Caenorhabditis elegans: one gene and its partner. The protein of the gene in region 2 interacts with the protein of the main gene of each other region in a pairwise test. Each region holds a gene or a part of one and is shown on either strand. Other genes may lie near its edges. The genes, in order: coh-3 and F12E12.6.

Evidence for each region.
Region 1: the proteins of F12E12.6 (region 2) and coh-3 interact in a two-hybrid assay, tested with the Caenorhabditis elegans proteins (one large-scale study listed by BioGRID).

What each region holds. Positions count from the first base shown.
Region 1 is NC_003283.11:14,455,647-14,460,790, reverse strand, and holds coh-3 (Rad21/Rec8-like protein C-terminal eukaryotic domain-containing protein), read right to left. Parts: upstream 3,370-5,144; 5' UTR 3,317-3,369; coding exon 3,255-3,316; intron 3,209-3,254; coding exon 3,006-3,208; intron 2,962-3,005; coding exon 2,795-2,961; intron 2,746-2,794; coding exon 2,585-2,745; intron 2,538-2,584; coding exon 2,401-2,537; intron 2,354-2,400; coding exon 2,223-2,353; intron 2,176-2,222; coding exon 1,996-2,175; intron 1,946-1,995; coding exon 1,813-1,945; intron 1,740-1,812; coding exon 1,529-1,739; intron 1,479-1,528; coding exon 1,374-1,478; intron 1,326-1,373; coding exon 1,215-1,325; intron 1,166-1,214; coding exon 1,062-1,165; intron 1,013-1,061; coding exon 894-1,012; 3' UTR 650-893; downstream 1-649. Other genes in the region: F08H9.2 (SPerm CHromatin enriched), read right to left, coding at 1-126; bmk-1 (Kinesin-like protein), read left to right, coding at 3,912-3,914, 4,064-4,137, 4,187-4,393, 4,444-5,144.
Region 2 is NC_003280.10:3,735,165-3,738,589, forward strand, and holds F12E12.6 (CCDC92 domain-containing protein), read right to left. Parts: upstream 1,780-3,425; 5' UTR 1,733-1,779; intron 1,687-1,732; 5' UTR 1,627-1,686; intron 1,577-1,626; 5' UTR 1,499-1,576; intron 1,206-1,498; 5' UTR 1,180-1,205; coding exon 1,155-1,179; intron 1,104-1,154; coding exon 975-1,103; intron 927-974; coding exon 799-926; 3' UTR 765-798; downstream 1-764.

The DNA of each region.
Region 1 (5,144 bases), on a different chromosome or scaffold from region 2:
GCTCACAACACTGCGGCTTCTGGATCTCGAACGAGACTTGCTGGCAACAGACTTGGCCTTCTTTCCGGGTAGGAAGCGTCCTTTTGAATCCCTTGCACGAACGATTCTTCTATTTGACTTGGGCATCGAGTATTGTTGTTCAAAAGGAACAAAATCGAGTAAACTGATTTGTCTGATGGAATTTCAAATATTTATAGTCAGCAAAGATGACCTTTTAAGATAAGAGATAACCACGGTCAAACGTAAGTTACCTTTTTGGAAAATACTTTCTTTTTTTCAATTTATGTAAAGGTGATGTAGTCGAATTTGAGACTGTGTTTTAGAAGATTCTCTATGCTCTGACAAATCGATATGTCAAAAAAATGTAACGGAAGTTATGAGCCTTCAGTGCCGAAAAAAATCTCGCCGTAAATTTAATTTGAATTTCGCGCGCAAATGAGCGCCCCCGCGTGTGTACTCCTCTCGGACAAGCAGATAATTAATTTCTTGCTTTACGGCAACTCTAGGCGATTTTTCGTATTTTTTCGCGATTTTAGCTACTTAAGCACTTTTGCAATTAAAGATTGTGAAAAACACTACTTCACGACTTATGTATATGATCTTGACACGACTGAAAAAGTGTGCGCCTTTAAAGCTACCTGTAACAACGTTTTTCGAACGAAATGAGTTTTTATCTAGAAAAAAACTGGGAATAGGAATGAGACACGATGGAAACTGAACATGAGAGCCACGAAGGGAAAAAAAATTAAAATGGACAGAAAGATTTTACAAGTGGGAGAAATAATTATGATTCTAAATGCAGCTACACTACTAAGATAAAAATTCTAAAATACAATAATAGTAATTAACTAGCAGATCTAAAGAGGACATCAGAAAAAGGAAAAAGTGTGCAGTTAGAAATCAGCCATTGCCAGATCGTCGATATCTTCACTATCATCCGTTGATAGCAGCAAATCGATATTTTCATACGGAGCACGTTGAGTGGCCTTAATCTTGCGTTCTTTGAGGAGCTCTGAAACACGCAAAATATTGAAAATGACGTAATAAACTATTTAATCTACCAAGAACTGTATAGAATGTCCGAGCAGCTTCTCGTCGAGATGTCGCAGCAACCGGGATCATCGAATCCAGAGTGACCTCGAAGGGGCTTTTATCATCCAGCTGGCTGAAAATAACCGCTTGAACAAATAATGCAACCTTATTATTCAGCCTACCGAATAATATTCCCACGGATGGTGAGCGCATCCGCAATGTTTTCAGAACTTGTATTTGACCACGTCGGTTTGGAGTTCCAGTTGTCTTCAAATAGCGCCGGCTCTTCCATTCTGTAACATAAAAATCATATTCAAAATCTCAAAAAACCAAACTGAAACTTTGGAGAAATCGGATTCACATTCATCGGCTCAAATTGTTCAAACCGTGGAAGTTCGAGCTCTTCACGAAACTCAATTTCTTCCGGTCGATGCACTGGAGTCAATCTGAAAATTACTCATGTGCTCTAAGCTTGGTGATTATGTAAAATGCTTACATAGGACTTTTATCCTTCAGTGGAGTCGTCATGAACTTCATCTGTGACAAGTCGATGGTCTCCAAGGGCTCAAGTTCAGCTTTAAGTCGATTTCTTCTCTCAGTCTCCTCGTCTTCGTCCTCTTCTTCAGTATCAGATACATCGTGGCCAATTGTGGAATCAAACTTCCTCGTTTTCACCTTGAACAGATCCCACATGTCTGTATTGCATCCTGAAACGTTACAATAAAAACAGGGAGCGTCAATAAAGTCTAAAGATTCTGAGAAACGGTTAAAAGTGCTCACCTTTTCGAAGGAAGTAAGGAATTGGGTTCAACAGCTCTTTTAAATTCATCACTTTGCTTGTCTTTCGGTATAGAGGCTCCGGGTCTTTGAAGTGAAGACTGGAATAATCTTCCATTATGTGATGCATTTCTCTCTGAAAAGAAAAAAGCGGAATAATATTGTTTTCTCATCTTGATCGCATACTAATGGAATTTTATAATTGATCCCTTCTTCTGCTCCTTCGTTCTCAGACGTTTGTTTCTTTGTAGCACTAAGAGGAACTTTGGGAATTCTTATTGGAATCGAAACTTCGTCATCTAGATCCATGTTTTCCGAGACAAGTCGTGGAACATCCATTTGTTGTGGCGGAATAAACTCGGTGTTCTGAAAATGATCATTCGGTTTTTAAAGACTTTAAATATTATACATACGATTCCAGAGTTCCTCGCTTCCTCCATTTCTTCTTCCATGCTTCTTCTTCTCTCAGTTTCGTCTAGTGTGATGGGGAGTTGGCGGAAAAGAAGCATTTCCTTCAGGTGTGTGGCTGGTTGAAATTCCTCTTCTATAAATAAAAAACAATATTTCTACAATTCATTTTTAATCATCAACCTTGTGGAATAGATTTGGTAGGTGTCATGAGCTGGCTCCGGATAAAGTCATCAGATGGGCGTTGAAAATCAGTCTCCAAATTCAGATTATGAACATTTTGACGGCAATCGTTGGAGGAATATCGATCGATGAATGTTCTGAAATATTCTATATATATTGCAAACAATATAAGGAGAGAACTTACAAATCAATCGCTGTGTTCCGATTTTCTGATTCCAACATCCCGTACATCATTTCAAGTTGTTCCATTGTTGGTGCAGCCAAATCGTCTTCAACGTTAATTTGGTCGTTCTTGTGAAGACTGAGAACATCTGGCATTGTAATGTTTTGTTTTAGAGCCACACTCTGTAATAGATTTTATTTTAATTTTGATTTTTGAAACATTTAGACTTACGATCGGGGTAGGAGTGAGAGGAAATTCCTCAACCATCGTTCTTCTCTTCTTCTTTGGTGTTTTAGAGTTGTCACCTTCCATCTGTTCACGAGTTTTTCGTTTCCTCTCATCTTCTTCCGCGAGGTACGAAGTGAATGCGACGATCTCTCGAGCACGAATTGCATCTTCTGTAATATTTGTTAAAGTGATAATTTAAATACTGGCAACGTACGAAGAAGTCGAGCAACTTGAGTACTGAGAACTATGGTGTTTCCGTACACCAAATTACACGCAATGGAGAGAGATCTTCTGTTTTTCCTCTCGTTACTGAGAATCCACTGAATGAGCTTGCTTGCTTGAAGAACATCGTGTCTGAAGCACTCACGACGATTTGATTGCAAGCCGAGTTTCTTGTGAGAACCAAAAACTATTCCTCTGCAAGAAAAAATTTATTAATCCGGCATAAAATACTTTTTATTACAATAGGAACTTCACAGTCGCTTCCTCCGACGCTTTGAGCGGTACATCGATGCTTATCACCATGCTGATTGTTACCTTTCTTACCCGTTTGACTTTCTGCAATTTTTAACTGCAAAGATGTTTAATGCAGATACTCGAAAGAAACGAAAAAATGATAAAAAAGTGAAAAACCCCAAAAATAAATTTGAAAACTCCGCGTAAGCTTGCTCGATCGCTGCGAGACCATTGCATACCGTACTACTTCTTTAAAGGCGCACACATCAAATCTAGCTGTTTCGTGACAGGACCCAGCAATGTTCAGCCGCGAAGTTTTGAATCGCCATTTTTTTTTAATTTCTAGAATGTTTATAGTTTTGCTTTCGATGAGATTTTTAAGCATTATGAGGAACAAATTTTTTTAAAAACTTTAGAAGTTTTAAAATTTAATTTTGCGATTATGCTTTGCTTTCGCGTGTCCTTTCCGTTGTTCCTCGCTCCAAATATATCACAGTAATTAACCACTACTTATGTAGTTATCACGTTTCTAAAAATATAAATTCATTTTTATTTCTCTATTGATTCGGTTTGTTGCTCTTCTTGTCTCAATCTTGTGCTACTGCCGAATACCCTGCTAATTTTTCGTTTTCAGTCATTCGATTCACTTGGGTTGTTGTTTAAAATGGTAAGATTTTTGCAGGTTACTTTCTTTCCCATGAGGTAAATGCATTTATTGCGGGTGCGCTCTATCGCACGACGCCGCGAATCATTGTATTTCAAATTGATTTTCCTGTTGCACTTTTATTAGTTACAATTTTTATTAGTTATTTTTAGTTGGATTCGACAATGGCATCCCGCAAGAAGCACTCCGAGCCCACGTCCAATTTGCGAGTCGCTGTTCGTATTCGGTGAGTTTTAAACTTATTTTTACTTCAGTTAAATATGCCCCTTTTATAGGCCAATGAATGGCACCGAGCGCAGTGAAAAGTGCACCAACGTTGTGAAAGTGGACAAAGGAAAACAAGCTATCGAGTTGAAGGGAAAGTCATTTGGCCCATTTTTCCGGACCTATGACCCAGACACGACTCAGGAAGAAATCTACTCGGACCTCGTGTCATCACAAATTAAGAAGGTTATCGCAGGATTTAATTGCACAGTTTTTGCGTTAGTAGACAGGACGGTTCAATAATATTCAATATAATAGTAATTTTCAGCTATGGACAAACTGGAACCGGAAAAACGTTCACAATGGAAGGAGGGAGAACAGACGCAAAAAGCTCAACTGATGACCCTACGACTGGAATCATACCTCGTGCCGTTGAGGATATTTTCGAGCAGTTGGAAAGATGCGGCTGTGAGGAGTATTCGCTTCGAGTCAGTTACATCGAACTCTACAATGAAGAACTGTTCGATCTCTTGGCTTCGACGGATAATGAAGATCGTGAACGCCTTCGCATTTTTGATGATCCAAACAAGAAGGGAGTAATCGTTTCGGGCGTGGAAGAAGTGCCTGTGCGAAATCGTTCAGATGTCTTCAAACTTCTACAGTTGGGTGCTGAGAAAAGACGAACGGCGGCCACTTTGATGAACATGCACAGTAGCAGATCTCACAGTCTCTTCATGGTCAATGTCGTCATTCGGGAGAATACAACCACTGGCGAGGAACTGGTGAAGCAAGGAAAGCTTAATCTCGTTGACTTGGCTGGTTCTGAAAATATCGGACGATCAGGAGCACAAGGAAATCGTGCTAAAGAGGCTGGTTCCATTAACCAATCGCTTCTGACGCTGGGAAGAGTAATTCGTTTACTGACAACCAATGGCCAGCATATTCCATACAGAGAGTCGAAGTTAACTCGTCTTCTACAGGACAGCCTCGGTGGATCTACAATCACTTCTTTGATTGCTACGCTATCTC
Region 2 (3,425 bases):
CGCGAAAATTTTAAAGACGAAAGTAAGATATAACTTTCTGAATGACGATTTTTCTAGCTGTATTTATAACTCAACTGAAATTTAGCGAATTTGCTCATTGAATATTTCTATGATCAAAGAACCTAAAGGCTAACAGACAAAACCTGAATCGGTGATTGTAGATGTCTAGCATTTGATGTATCCATGGATTTCCACAGATTTGATGTTCACATAATATAATTTTTATTTTTTTGCTTTAATTTAGTAATTTTTAGTCGAAAATGTATTACCAACCTTCAGCTCTGCTCCTCCAAACGCTAGTTTTCATAGTTAAATCAAGCCTTTTGAAAATCACTGCAGTTGCTCCCTTTACCATTTGGTTCATATGAATAAATGTTTTCAACAATTATTTGAATAGTAATACATAGGTGGGGAAGATCATTTTGGTCAAGTTTGGTGCTGCGAAAGTCATTGGGAGCCGAGAAATGGCTTATGAAGCAAATACGAACGTTCCAGGACAATCCTAGGCGTTCCACGTGTTTTCAGGGGTTATATTTATTTTTTAAATGTGAAAATGAAACCGTCTGAACATTTTGGTGTTTTTGTGTTTGAGATATCATAATAAAAATTGGGGAGCATAGGTTTTCCAACATTTGCTATCAAACTGCACTAGCACTTTTTCAAAAAATATTTTGAGAAGCTCCAAACCGCCAAATTGGAGGGGGGTGCTATAGAAGTTGGACGCACTGTAGTATATTTTAATAATTATAATTATATTAAATAATTATAGTATGCAAAAAAAAAAAATCTTCCGAACAACTAACAAAATTTGAGATTCAAGTCCTCGTTCTGCTTGGCTTCCTGAGCTCTCTTGAGCTTTCGATTCAGCCTTCTCATTTCGGATCTCATCTCTTCCTTGTGCTTCATGCATTTGTCCAGGTCGGACTCTGAAAAATCAATAATCAATAATATGCGTGTACTTAAGGTCAACTAACGTGTTCTGTTCAAGACTCGAGTCTTCAGAAGCAAGGAATGATGGAGCTCCGCTTGTGTCTGGATTATGCTCATCGTCTTACTATGGATGAACTCCTTCATTTGCTCTCGGAGCTGTTGGTTTTCGTTCTCTGAAAATTAATAAATGAGAAACTTGAAGCTTCAAGAGGGTGCTGATTTACTTAGAACCTGAGCAGCATGACGCATCTCATCACTATCGAGCTTGAGCTGTTCTGAAATTGAAAAATATTAGTCTAGTTCGCCTATTTTTAATGTAATGTATGCTTGCCTGCCTCTTTGCCTTGCCACAGGCGTACCTGCCACTTACAATAAGACACAGGAGTATGTGCCCTCTTTGTGCCTGAGTTTACGTCAAAATGCAGAGAGTAGGTTTTTGTAGGCACAAGGTAAGGTAGGTAGGTAGGAAGGTATGTACGTAGGTAAGTAGTAGGTAGGTAGACAGGTAGGTAGGGAGATAGGCAGGTAGACAATTAGGTAAGAAAGTATCCAAAATTCAAAAACTTACCATTTTCATTCTGCAATTCCTTGATTTTCCGTTGGTTGTCACTTTCCGCTTTACGACGACGTTCGTGGTGCAATTTCTCTGAAAATTTGAGGTATTTTTGATTTAAATTTTATTGATTTCTAAGTTACTCTTGAGTGTGTGACACTTTTCTCATTCCTGAACTGCCTTCGAGACTTTGCTCACTTCATCTGAAAATTTAAAGTTTTTCAAAAAAATTCCGGTGTGGTAACTTACGGAGTTGGCTGGAGGAAGAACTTGGCGCTGGAGTCATACTGTGCGAAGTTTCTGAAAATTCAGAGTACGGTAGAGTAAACTTGGATTTTAAAAGAAAAAAAAACAAAAGAAGGCTGCCACAAGAGTCGGATATGATAAAGTGACACCCAGCTAACACGCGGTATTATGCCTGTGAGCGGAGAGAGAGAGAGAGAGTGTGTGTGTGTGTGAAAGTGAGAGGACGCTAGACGAGAAATACATAAACACATGAACACGAACACCTTCTATTATGCCGCCACCGCCAAAATAAGACGCGATCTGTACGCCTTCCGGCTGTCCGCGGGGCGAATTTACAACAACATTTCTGAGTAGTTTTTCTTTTCTTAAAATTGTTGTCAATCTAGAAAGTCTTCTAACTTTAATTCTTTCAGGAATTATAACTTGCGATCAAAAGCACGATGCCTGCAGCTCCAAACTACAGAATTATGGTAAGCAGCTCCTACCTATCAAAATTTCCAACTTTAAATCTTTCCAGACCCTTGCCGACTTGAAGAAAGCCACTCAAAAGCTTGATATCACCATTTTCGACCGCAATAACTTTTTTCATGGAAGAGCCGGCCGTAAATACGTAAAAATCCCAATGTCTGCATAAGAAAAACGGAGAAGGAATTGCCAAGATACTGCAAATTACGTTCGACGGAATCACAACGAGAAGGCAGCTTTCGAAGGATTTCTTGTCGAAACAAGTGCGATCAAAGATCGTCTGGAGCAATTGAATCAAGAAATTGTGCCTGAAAGTGTGGAAGACTTTGTGAAGAAAGCGGTGGCAGTTATGGAGGCAATCCTGCAAAAGTCTCCAGGCATCGAGGTGGATGTGAGATTGCAATTTGAAATCCAAGATGATCATCAGATCTACGAAAACTTCAAGGACAAGCATCAAGAAGCCATGAACTACAAGTCTTGGAAGCACCAGCTTGACATTGTAATAGCCCAGCAGACGCTGGATAATCTCTTGGCTACCCAGGGAAGAAGCTCAAAGAGTTGTATATGGGAAATAATTGCAAAGCAACAGCTGAAAAGGGACTGCTACAAGAATTTGGAGAAAATTGAAACTTTGATTGGGAAGCTGGACCTGCTTCAGGATTGTGTGGCTCAGTTGAAGCATAGTGTGAGTTAATTTTTTAAGGTTTTTTTTTCAAACGCCCGAACTCTTCTTTCCAATTTCTTGTCTTTCAGATCTGGAGAAACAAGCTCGAAATCTACAGCATCTTCTTCAAGCTCTTTTGTCGAACTGCGGAGCCCGCCGACACTGAGCTAGTCAACAGAATCGTCGAGCATTTTTCTAACAACTTTCCGCAACCAGAGAGTCCTTCCGAACTTCCAACACTTTCCAATGTAACACAATGATAGTGAATACGGGGATGCATTTACGTCTGGCTAAAGACTTGAAAGCCCGGAACTAGCAGCAAAAGTCGTGAAGAAAAAGTGGTGAGTTGGAAAAGTTCAAAATCTAAAATAATACAAGAAAATGTTTTTTTAGAACTCTTCTGGCTCACCACTCCACCTCCAAAATCCGCGCATGCCATAGTTTTATAATTTATAGGTGTTTAGTTATTGTTTTATTCAAATTTTGTTCAAATTTTATGTAAAATAAAGCTCTAGAGAAATTGAGTTATTGTAGAACTGATTTCTCATACATACTGAACTCTATTTC